3 linked regions of the Coturnix japonica genome follow. The protein of the gene in region 2 purifies or fractionates together with the protein of the main gene of each other region. This does not show direct contact. Links are inferred from orthologs where the notes say so. Each region holds a gene or a part of one and is shown on either strand. Other genes may lie near its edges.

Region 1 (3,645 bases), on a different chromosome or scaffold from region 2:
TCAAGTGGACTCCAGTTCAGGAGAAATAAGGGAAGAGCAGCGTGTGTTTGTTTGTAGTGCAGTAACTTTGATACAATCCGATATTCTTTCAGTGCTCTCTGCTCCCCAGCAGCAAGTGCTGCACTGCTGACCAAAATAGATTGGACTTCTTCTGACCTTTTATAAATGCCCTTAATACAGTAGCACAGGCTTTACTTTGAAACATATGACTTTTAATTCTGATTGTGAAGTCAAGTGAGGTAAGTAGAACTTGGATCAACTGTAAATGACTTAGATACTTAGCAAATCCTCTTGGAGAACCACGCTTGTTTGCTACCTGCATTTTGCTGAGGGCACATAGCATTCCAACATTTAGTCATCCTATGAGGTAATGTCCCTTGCTGTGCAGCCTCTCCCACAGCTGGTTTGCTCCCCAGCAGTCTTCTCCCTCTCTTCAGCCCCAAAGATTGATGACTCTGAAAATACATTGGTTAAACTGCTTACCGTGTAAAACTGCTAATAGGTTTTGGTGTGTGCTTTCTACTGTGATTATGTGGCTTACGCTGTCTGCATGAGAACAGCAACACAAAAATGCTACTGTTTGATAGAGCTTTTCTTTAGTTTTCAGTTGACCAAAGAAATGGTGATGGAGAAGCCAAGTCCCCTGCTGGTCGGGCGGGAGTTTGTGAGGCAGTACTACACTCTGCTGAACCAGGCACCTGACTATTTGCACAGGTAAAGCTCTTGCTTCACTTCGTGATCAGTTTTTGTGTGATTTCCTTAAATTGTATGTTAAAAAAATCAGTAAATAAACTTATTCCTGTGTCTTAGATTCCTTTTTGAAGGTATTTCATTGTGCTTTGAGCTGGTATTCAAGCAGTTTTTTGAAGCCTTCCTTCTAATCTCAACTGTTAAGAAAGACTTTTTAGACCTTTTTTCTATTTAAGTGGGCAGACTAATCTGTTTGGCTGAGAGGAAAGTTTAGTGCATACTGTGAACTTGAGTTCCAGATTTTATCTGCCATCAGAATGCAGTTCCCTGATACTTGGCTTCAGTTATAAAGCCCTAGTTATAAAATGGGTAACTTACCTGCACTGCTTTAATTAATGCTGGCAGATACTGCTTCTTGCCTCAAACTTGAAGCCAGAGCTTGAGGACGGCCTCCAGTGTCCACTGTGTCCAGGGTAATGTTTCTTTATAGCAGGATAAGGAGAACAGGGTTGTGCCATCTAGTTCATATGGGAGAAGACTTCAGTCTTGGCTGTTATTGCTTGGGTACGTGACATATCTGAACACTACAGCTTACACAGGGAAACTTTATTTCCAATAGGTTTTATGGGAAAAACTCTTCCTATGTCCATGGTGGCTTGGATTCCAATGGAAAACCTGCTGATGCAGTCTATGGGCAGTCTGTAAGTATTTGGTGAAAAATTACTATCATTTACTACCTTCTCCTTTGTGTTTGGGACACATATCCAGCTGTGATTCATCCACTTTGTCAAGTGTCTTACTCTAGAGAAACATAGTGGATGGAAGGGATGCCATTCAGAGGGGCCTCAACAGATTTGAAAGGTGGGCCTGAGTGAATCTAATGAGGTTCAACCCAGCAAAGTGCAAGGTTTTGCACTTGGGTCAGATGGATCCTAGGCCTTTATTCAGACTGGAAGGGAGAATTGAGAGTAGCCCTGCAGAGAGGGGCCTGCAGCTCCTAGTGGATGAAAAGCTTAACAGGAGCCAGTGGTGTGCTCTTGCAGCTTGGAAAGCAAATGGTATCCTGGGCTCCATCAGAAGGGGGGGGCAACAGGGACAGAGAAGTGATTGTCCCTCTCTACTCTGCTCATGTTAGGCCCCATCTGGAGTGCTGTGTACAGCGCCCAGTACAAGAAAGACAGCTGTTAGAGAGTGTCCAGAGGAGGGCACAAAGGTAATCAAAGGGCTGGAACGCCTCCCCTATGAGGACAGGCTGAGGGAGCTGGGTTTGTTCAGCCTGGAGAAAAGAAGGCAGCAGGGTGACCTCATTGCAACCTTTCAGCATCTAAAGGAAGCCTGTAAATGGGAGGGGGGTCAACTCTTTAAAAGGATAGATAACAGCAGGACAAGGGGAAATGGTTTTGAGTTGAAGGAGAGAATAATTAGGTTGCATGTCAGGGGAAGTTCTTTACTTCACCTGACTAGTGTGTTACTAGTGTGGTAAAGTACTGGAACGGCTGCTCAGAGGGGCTGTGGGTGCCCTGTCCCTGGAGGTGTTCAAAGCCAGGTTGGACAGGACCCTAGGCAGCCTGGTCTAGTATTAAATGTGGAGGTTTGTGGCCCTGCTTGTGGCAAGGGGGCTGGAGATTCAGGTTCCTTCCAACCTAGGGCATTCTGTGAAAGGAAAGAAACATCTACCTAATTTTACACAGCAATAGTTAATCAAAATATGCTTCCTTTTGAAGTTCGTAGTGTAAAATGCTTGCAGAGCAAACTTAGTGCTTGCTGTTAAACTTTCTTGTTTATGTTTGGGAAATATATGTTTTTGGTTTTTTTCCTTCTTTCCTTGGAAGCTGCTAATTTAGCAGAAATGACTCTTACAGTATAACCTGTACTCTGTCCTTTATAGGATATCCACAAGAAGGTGCTGTCATTAAACTTCAAGGACTGCCACACAAAGATCCGTCACGTGGATGCCCATGCTACTCTCAATGATGGTGTTGTAGTGCAGGTGATGGGAGAGCTTTCCAATAACATGCAGCCCGTGCGCAGGTTCATGCAAACATTTGTGCTTGCACCTGAGGTATGCTATACTGAGTGATAACATTACTGCAGTGCTTATACCATCATGTCAAAGTTTGAGGCCTGTTTTGGTGTTGGAATCTCCAGTGTTGCATTGGGAAAGTAGTTTACCACATGTTTTTGTAGGAGAACTCTGCAAATTCTTAGGGAGTTTGTGCTACTTCTGCATGTTCATCAATTAGCCTTGGGTATCATAATTACAGATGTAAATACCCTGATGTGTGGCTTCTTGATATCTACAACTTTTTTTTTTCCTTATGTATGCTTTAAGTTGGTTCTGTCCTTAGTTTGCCTTCCTGGCTACATGTCCTTGTATTGGAAAAAGAGGGAAGAATAAACTGCTTTCTGCCCCTTGAAGACAGGATTTAGATTGTCTTGTTCGGTAAAGTGCTTACATGGCATTGAGGTGGCTTTCAAAATACACATTTTTGGACAAAAGGAAAATGGAAAAAGGGGAGGATTGCAAATTCACCTTATTTTTTCAGGTTGGTCTAGGACTAAGAATTAAAACCTTGAATCACATAATGCTCTGCTTAATACTTCATCAACTATAAGAATAAAAAGCATTAAACTTCCTGTTGTTTCACACATGCTTGACTTCCTAGCACAAGGTGTCCTTTTATCTGCATAGTGCACTTTTTTAAAGGAGGCAAGTTTGGATTGATCTTTTATATTTGTGGGGGACGGGTGACTTTCTTCAGCTGTTCTTGTTTTGTTACTTCAGTTTGATATTGCAGTCAATGTAATTAGTTTTCCCCCTTTTTTCTTCTAGGGTTCTGTTGCAAACAAATTCTATGTCCACAATGATATCTTCCGCTACCAAGATGAAGTTTTTGGTGACTCTGACACTGAACCTCCTGAAGGTGAGCACCAGCAGACTCCATGTATTTCCTT
Region 2 (4,438 bases):
CTCTCTTCTTTGTGATCAGTGGGAGGTTGCCACTGGGTTTGATCTGCAGAGAGGTCCCCAGTGTAACAGAGAGATCAGCTTTTCTGCAGGGAGGAGATAAAATATCCAAGAGAGAAAGTAAGAAAAATAAAACCCAAGGGCTGCTTGCTGTGGTACTGGCAGAATGCAAAGGGCATAGACACCCTCCTGGGTCATTGCAAGCTGCAGCAATCAGCAGTCATGATATTCAATTCTAAATATGGTACCTGCAGGCTTCATCTGCTAGTGTGAGGTCACGGTCAGGCAGGGAATCTTCCCAGTCCAGAATAGTGTCTCTTAACTTCCCTCTATAAGAGACACAAGGACCACTGTTACCCTGCCAGGCAGGAATGGTCAGCAGAGATGGCTAGGAGACAAGTAACAGCTCTATAACCCAGACCCCCTGTCGCCCTGCAACACAAAATCTGAACATCAAAATCACTCACTCCTACCTCCCAGGTACTCTGTGTCCCCTCTTCATTTCACAGCACCCTGGGAAGCCCCATCCAGCACCCCTACTCCCATAGCTGCCCCAGCAGACGTACCTGCAGGCCCGTAGCCCTCGTGCTTTGGTGACGCTGCACAGCCTGCCCGTTGGCTTCAGCCCCATGCTGCCCACAACAGCATCCCGCACGTACTGCCTGCACACACAAGAGATGGTGTTATTTACAGCCACACGTATAGGGTGACTCACAGCAGCCACACATAGAGAGGTGACACAGCTGTGAAACATCCCCACAATACAGCATGTTCCACATCACAGACACCTGGGAGTGAAGGAAGCAGGTGATGGCTCAGAGCCACATGCAATGAGCTGGGCACCCAAATCCTTCATCAATTTCAAACCACAGCTATTGCTTACAATAATTTCCCTTTTAGGGAGCTTTGAACATCAGCTCCAAGGCCAAGAGAGGCTGTTACCATCCAGGATGCAAAGCCCAGCCTGCAGCAACCTTCTGTTACCTCTCTAAGCAGGCAGCCTCACTTGCCACAATGAGCAGAGGGTTTCCCAGGCAACAGAGGTTTCTCAAAATGTTTATTTCCCACAATATGACAGGGTTTGTGATTCAGATGGGACAGATCTGACCATGATTCCATGCACTCTGCACTAGGGACCTCTCCTGACAGGCAGCCCCAGGTCTGTGCAGTCCCTCCACTGTTCCTTAGGACAACAACAAAGCCCCCACCTGCTGCTGCCCACGTACTTGCCACATTTCGTGCACTCCTCCACAAACATGTTCCCGTGGAGCTCAGCCAACTTGTCCCTGTGAGAGAAATGACAGAAATGAATGGAGAACACCTTGTGCATTTAACACAAGAAACATTGTTCCAGGGTGGTTTAATAAGGTAGGGAGAACAGCCATGCTTTGGCATCTGGGAGAGACTAAAGGAACCTGGAGGCAGGGTGGGAGAGGCAGTACCGTGGGAATCCTGAGCGCACATGAAGGCCATCCACGTTCTGGCTGACCAGGAATTTCAGGATGCCGACTCTCTGCAGCCCCAGAAGTGCCATGTGAGTCTTGGAGGGCCTGGCGTTCTCAAAGGTGGTGTCAAATTTGGGGGAAAGCCCCTTCTCTTCCATAGTCCAGACACCATTAGGCCCCCTGCAGCAATGGGACAGGAGAAGGAATAAGTGAGATCTCAGGCTCTGCTACGCTGCTTGTAAATGCATCCCAAGCCCTATCAGTGCAAGCAAGGCACTGCTAAACAAGGACCACACATTCCTGGTTATTTTAGTTCAAAATGCATGTAGGGCTTCTGTGGGTACAGTTTAAAATCAAAACAGGAAAAGGTAGATTCAGCTGGATATAGGACAAGACAAGAGCAAAGAGGACATGAAAGGATGGCACAGGTCTCCCTATAGGCAGGATGGCTGGCAGGAAGCCCAGCCTAGATGGAAGATGGACTCAGATGAGGTGCTGTTGTGTCCCCCCCCCCCCACACACACACAGTGCCTGCTGCCCTCTGCCTTTACCTGAAGTCAGGGATCCCTGAAGCGGTGCTGATACCAGCCCCTGTGTGGAACACCACATTGGAAGAGCTCCTTATCAAGTCTGCCAGCTCACACACCTTCCTCTCCAGCTCTTCAGGTGGATCAAAAATCTGAGCAGAAGAAACAAATCCCAACGTGAATGGGGATATAGAAATGGGTCCTACATGCCTCCTGGTAGGCACAAAGAGTCAGCAAACCACTCTTCTATCACATCCACAATGGAAACCCCACGCAGGAAAGGAAATTTCACATTGCTTAATGCCAAATGTACATAATGAGGGAATAAGGCTTAAAATGAGGGAATAAGGCTTAAAAAGAGCAGGATGGGGGACAGCGATGGATGGGGGTCATGGGCCCATTCTGATTTTTGGCACAGCACAAATTCATTTCTATAGGACGGTTCTTTGCTCCCTAGAATGGGACAGAACTCCGACCCTTTTACAGCCCCATATCCTCACCCCAAAGCTTTTCTTAAGCTTATTGAGCATGAATGTGGGGGTTGGGGGGGACATAGGGATGGGGTCAGCCCAGTAGTGCCCACCCCAAGGTAAAGGGCCGGCCCTAAAGAATAAAGGGGACACGAAGACGGGGTGACAACGGACACAGAGCAATAGGAAGAAGGGAACGGAGGCCGGGACCGGGGAACCCAAAGACCCCATGGTGCTTGGGGTCCCCATGGGGCACAAGGCCTATGGAGGCCTTGGGGTCCCCATGGAGGCCCTATGGAGGCCTCGCAGGCCTCAGGCTATGCAAGGAGATCCCTCCACTCCGCTCTCACCTCGGGGAGGCCGCATTTGCCTTTATCCGAGTAGGGCGAGAGCCCGGCCGCGTAATTCACCGCCATGACCCGTCCCGGCTACCGGAGAGCTCATTGTTGTCGGTCCGCGAGCAAGGAGGCCGCGGCATCAGTGCGCATGCGCAAAGGCCTGCCTAGAGTAGGCCGCAGCCTCAAGACGCATGCGCAAAGCACTGCCTAGAGTAGGCCGCAGCCTCAAGACGCATGCGCAAAAGTCACGCCTAGAGAAGTCCTCGCCGCCATCTTTGTGTTTGGCAATAGGGAGCTCTGCCCTCACCCTGCTAATACATCCATTATAAAACATAGAACTTGGAGTGGAAAAAGACAAGGAGCTGCCTATGCTAAGAGGTGCCATGCAATGAGTGCATACAAAGGCAGAGGGCATCAGCTCTGCTGGCCTCAGCCATGTCTTACAATACCTTGTCTTACAATGTCTTGTCTTAAAATGCCTTGTCTTACAATGCCTGCAGACCTAGATCCATAATAGGGCTGTGATAGAATGGCTTAGGTTGGACAGGACCTTAAAGATAATCTAGTTCTACTCCCATACACTGGTCAGGGTTACCAGCTGCTGGGTTATGATCCCCAGGATCCCACCCAGCCCTGAGTGCCTTCAATTGGCATCCCCAACTTCTAACCAACCTGTTCCAGCATCTCCCTGCCTTATGAATGAAATATTTCTCCTTAACACATAACCTGAAGCATCGTGATGGTTTCAAACCCTTCTCTCCCTCATCTGAGGCTTCCCCAGCCTTGCTATAGTACCCCCTCCCTTGCAGCTGCCCTGTGTCTGGGTGCAGGGGTTTCAAGGATGTCAGTGCTCCTTGCCCTGCCTGGTGCTGGGCCCTCCCATGTTCCCCCCCCCCGGGCTGTAACTGCAGAGGTAACCCAATGCCAGTGTGTGTGTCCCCCCCCCCGTGTCGTGCTGTGGGCCAGCAGCAGTGAGACAAGGTACAGACAGGGCTGGTGTTGAGCTGGACCCGTAGCAGCAGCAGAAAAGCCTTCAAAGCTGCCCTCTGCAACAGCCACATCCCTACAGCCTGACCCCAGCGGGCAGATGAGGCTTTAAGGCTCAACCCAGGTACCACGGGACTGCTATGAAGAGCCTGAAGGCCAAGTTCAGGAAGGCAGATGTAAGTGCTGTCCCCAAGGACATAGGGATGTGTCCTGGGTTGTCCACAGGGATGTGGGGATCTGCCCTGGGGTGTCAGTGGGTTTCGTGGGGGTATGGGGACACAGAGATCTGCCCTGGGATGTCCCATGGGGACATGGGCACCTGCCCAGTGACCCAGCTTCCACTGGGATCATAGTTGTGAGCAGGGCAGAATAAAGGAAGGGAAAGCAGCACCGAGGAGAGGTGAATGTGTCCCAGATCCTGTACCCATTTCTGTCCTATGGGATGCAGGGATGGCTGCCAGCTTTCCAGCCACAGCAACCAGATTGGGTTCCCACTTTGAAGCCAGCAAGTCAATGCTCCTTAATTATTCAGCACCAGACTGGCACAATGCTGCATATTCCTGCTGTTCTCCAGGCTGGGAAGAAGGTGACAGTGCCGTCCCCACTGCCTATGGCAGCACCAGGGGGATGTGTAGGTGGAGGAGCCTGTGCATTTTGGGGTTCCCTCCTTGCAG
Region 3 (3,645 bases), on a different chromosome or scaffold from region 2:
GACTCTGTTTTGTGGGCTGCAGACAAACCCATGCCCTGTGGAAGAGGAGCTGAGTGCTTCCTGCAGCCTCAGCGAACAAAATCTCTGCTGCATAACCTCAGCTGCCCCACGCACCATACAGCCAGCAACCCATAAAGGCATAATTACCCTACCGACACCTCAGCCCATACGCTGCAGAGGAACATCTGAAGCATGCAGAGGTGAAAGGGGGCTGTTCTCCACAAGGAGCCAAAGGTTACCTCCAGCAGGTGAAACAAAACCTGCCAGGCGCCCATGTGCTCCAATATGGCCCAAAGTATCAGATCAATGAGCAGCTGAGCAGCGTAACACTGCCACAACCCCAGCAGCCTGCTTCCACGCTGCTTGCCGGCATTAGGTGCTCCTGTTTGCCAGCAGCAGTTTTTCTGCACTGGGAACAACTCTCTCTGAAAAGCAGGTAGTGCTGCGACAAACTGTTCAAACACCATTACCCTACAGCCTTGATGAGCCCTAATGACAGGAGGTGTGCTGCTAATTGATGGATGCCTGCCAACAGGAGCCTCCAGCAGAACACAGGCAGGTCGGGCAAGCAGTGAGATCCAAGCAGCAGCATAGCTAACCAAGCAAAGCACGGAGCAAAACAGCCAACATCAGGTCACAACCTGATGTAAGTGGACACCAAAGCACAGCAGGTGGGGGAATCAATATGCCTGGGTGCCCCGGATGCAAATAGAAACAGTGGATTTTCTGCAGCTGTGGTGGTAAGTGCTTCTGATACAGGGAGAACAACCTGACGCTGTCTGCTTTCTCTAGCATCTCCCACTGCTCTCAGAGCAATGCTGCAGCCCCACGCAGCACCCACGTTCCTCTTCAGGGGCTGGGCTGTGCTCGTGCCCTTTGCACCACTTGCTTCATGTTTTTTAATGTCAGGAAATGTGAAAATGAGAATAACAACATGTTTCTGTGGTAACTGCTCATGCTGGTCCCAGGCTAAGAGGTGAACATCTGGAACAGTGGGCAACAACAGAAGTGTTCAGCTCCGTCCCCCGCAGAGACTTACCATGTGGGCAAACAATGTCCTCATTAAAATTTAACTCTTCTTCCTCCTCTCTCTTTTCCTCGTTCGCTTCATCTAATTAAAAAAAAAAAAAAAAAAAAGAAAAATTAAGAAGATTGTATCATTTCTCACTGAAGAAAAGGGGAAACCTTTGGGGGGAGGAGTCTGGTTTCTCTTCAGCAGAGCTCTCAGCCCAGGGGAAACCTGGGAAGTGTTATTCTGTTCTTCTCCAACACATGGGCCTGTGCCTGCAGGCCAGGCTGCATGGAGTGCTTTGAAGCGCTTTGAAGCACGTGGAGCACAAGAGCATCTTTTGTGATATGACAAAGGGTGCATTTGTTCCAGCTGCAGCACCACAGGGCTTCACTGCTCAGAGCTAACTCAAACCTCTAGGCGAGGGCTGAGCATCACAGCACAGTGTGCTCTGCTCCACGCTCTGATATCCAGCGTGAGCATTGCTACACTGGAGTTCAGAACTGCTCTGCAGACAGAAGCATTGGCCATTGAGTGAGAGTAACAGAAAAACCAGCAACATCACAGTGCAGCAATGTGACGAAGGAGCAAGCTGGCTCGTGAGCAGTTACAGTGCACTTCTGGGAGGTCACCTTGCTCTCAGAGCAGGCTGCACCCCCACGAAACGGCACGTGGGACGACCCCTCAGCTGCTGACGCAGGGAAGAGAAGTGCCCTTTTCTCAGTGGATGCCACAAGCCCCAGCAGCAGCCTACAGACAGCATCACTGCAGTATCTGATGTTCTCAGAGCCTTCCAGCCCAAGATCGATGCAATTAACTGATCTCCACTTCCATTCAAATGAGCTCCTTGCCCTCAGTTATGAAAGGAAAAAAGGATTCAAAAGGAATCAGGTTTCTAATGGAAAGTAAATAAAATAACAGAAGGCAAATAAAAATCCCCACCAGTTGTTACAAACACAATACACGGATAGAACAGAACCCAACGCATGGTATTTTTTTCTAAGCCATGTTTTGCCAGTGCTGCTCCACCAGCTGTGCTGTTTCATCCGTAGGCCTTTGCAGTAAACATCCCCAAGATAATGTTCATGTTTCTTCCTTCCCCTGCACACTCTCATTCAGATAAAAGGAGATGAAAAGATCACGTGCCTGGGGTGGTAATTGTACACAGCTCTGTAAAACTACTTATTACCTCATCTTCTTCTCTGGGTACGAAGATCACCTGGCAGTTTTGAAGCTTATCAAATAAAAAGCTCCTGAAATTAAGGCTGTGTGATATCAAACCACCCAAAGTGCTTTCCCTCCCCGCTCATAAAAGGGAAGTAAAACAACACACGCCAGAACACCTGACGTGTCTTTTGTTAAGGGGGGAATCAGTCAGAGCTGGCAGAGCTCTACAGCAGCAGAACTACCTTTGTTTGGTGTGTTTCCATTCAGTTTCCCATTGCTGTGCTCTGCGTCTTCGTCTTGCTCATTTAATTGCTCCAGAGCCAACTGACGCCAGCTCCGCAAGGACGCCTTTCCAACCCAAAACCCATCGCTCCTGCAGGGAAACAGCAGCGTTAGAAATGCAAGTCACAGCCCAAGTGGTACAGCTAACTTAGACATTAGTTAGCACAGCTAAAAACACGTTGGCAATGTGTCTGATGGCACCAGGACTCACGTACCCCTTGACTGTTATCTTCAGCAAGCTGGTTACAGTTTTGTAGTCTTCGTTTAGCTGGTTTTTCAGACGCAGGATTCGACATCTTTCTACCACACAATCCTTGCAAAGTGCTTTGACTGGGATGAGGGAGGAAAGAAACACTGTTATGCTTCAAGCATGCTCAGCTCAGCATCTAGCTGGTTTGAGAACTCAGAGATGTGGAAGGTGTGCATCGGTCACTGTGCATCACAACCTGAGATGTGGCATGTAAGCAGGGGAACTGCCACAGTACAACTCCTCAGCTGAGGTGCTGTCTGTTCTGCCAGCTGGCTGGTGCCAGAATGAAGAGAGCTGTGAGGGAGCTCACACTGACACTTGGATGTGGGAGGCAGAAGGCAGGGGGCTGAGGCATGTACCCCAAAGGCTGCGTCACTGCCCTTCTGTGGCACAAAGGTACAGTGCAGACACCTCCAAGGAGTTTCATGGGATGAGAGGGCTCCCTGCCACCCAGTGCAGGGAACTCCAGCCAGCAGCCAGCTAATAGCACAGAAAAGCTCCAAAACTTCTGTGATGCTGTACTGATCCAGAAGCAGGGGCAGCCCTGCATGTGGCCTTGCACCTTTGGACAGGAGCAGGGGGGTCACAATCAAATCCTTCCCTCTCCATCATCCTCAATGAAGAAACTGCAGGTGATTTTCCAGCTGACTGATAACGGCTGCCCTTTTTTTACAAGGCCTGCCTGCATCACAGAATGTTCTGCCGGCTGTATTTCTTCCCTATAAGTGCCTAGCAGGAGCCAAGCTAATTTGGTCTCAGTGGGAGCTACTGAGCTCCTTTATAAAAGGAACCAAGCCTGGAGCTCAGTTCAGAGATGCCCAGGGACAGCAGAGGCCAACCCTGCCCACAGATAACACACGTGGCAGATGTGTGCAGCACCAGCATTGTTTATTGATAGGTGTGTGCTCCCAGCGAATGAATCAGCCCAGGACGGGCT

What was found.
Region 1: the proteins of SIRT6 (region 2) and G3BP1 purify together in Homo sapiens (affinity purification with mass spectrometry; 3 studies listed by BioGRID and IntAct, with this or other methods). This does not show direct contact. The link is inferred for Coturnix japonica from reciprocal best matches to the Homo sapiens genes SIRT6 and G3BP1.
Region 3: the proteins of SIRT6 (region 2) and USP48 purify together in Homo sapiens (affinity purification with mass spectrometry; 3 studies listed by BioGRID, with this or other methods). This does not show direct contact. The link is inferred for Coturnix japonica from reciprocal best matches to the Homo sapiens genes SIRT6 and USP48.

What each region holds. Positions count from the first base shown.
Region 1 is NC_029528.1:5,172,747-5,176,391, forward strand, and holds part of G3BP1 (ras GTPase-activating protein-binding protein 1), read left to right. Parts: intron 1-600; 5' UTR 601-619; coding exon 620-714; intron 715-1,309; coding exon 1,310-1,391; intron 1,392-2,578; coding exon 2,579-2,752; intron 2,753-3,523; coding exon 3,524-3,614; intron 3,615-3,645. UniProt on the Homo sapiens protein: Protein involved in various processes, such as stress granule formation and innate immunity. Plays an essential role in stress granule formation.
Region 2 is NC_029543.1:1,710,213-1,714,650, reverse strand, and holds the start of SIRT6 (NAD-dependent protein deacetylase sirtuin-6), read right to left. Parts: upstream 2,938-4,438; 5' UTR 2,856-2,937; coding exon 2,790-2,855; intron 2,122-2,789; coding exon 1,994-2,121; intron 1,623-1,993; coding exon 1,440-1,622; intron 1,284-1,439; coding exon 1,224-1,283; intron 660-1,223; coding exon 564-659; intron 327-563; coding exon 246-326; intron 84-245; coding exon 1-83. UniProt on the Homo sapiens protein: NAD-dependent protein deacetylase, deacylase and mono-ADP-ribosyltransferase that plays an essential role in DNA damage repair, telomere maintenance, metabolic homeostasis, inflammation, tumorigenesis and aging.
Region 3 is NC_029536.1:5,729,697-5,733,341, reverse strand, and holds part of USP48 (ubiquitin carboxyl-terminal hydrolase 48), read right to left. Parts: intron 2,789-3,645; coding exon 2,674-2,788; intron 2,550-2,673; coding exon 2,419-2,549; intron 1,112-2,418; coding exon 1,040-1,111; intron 1-1,039.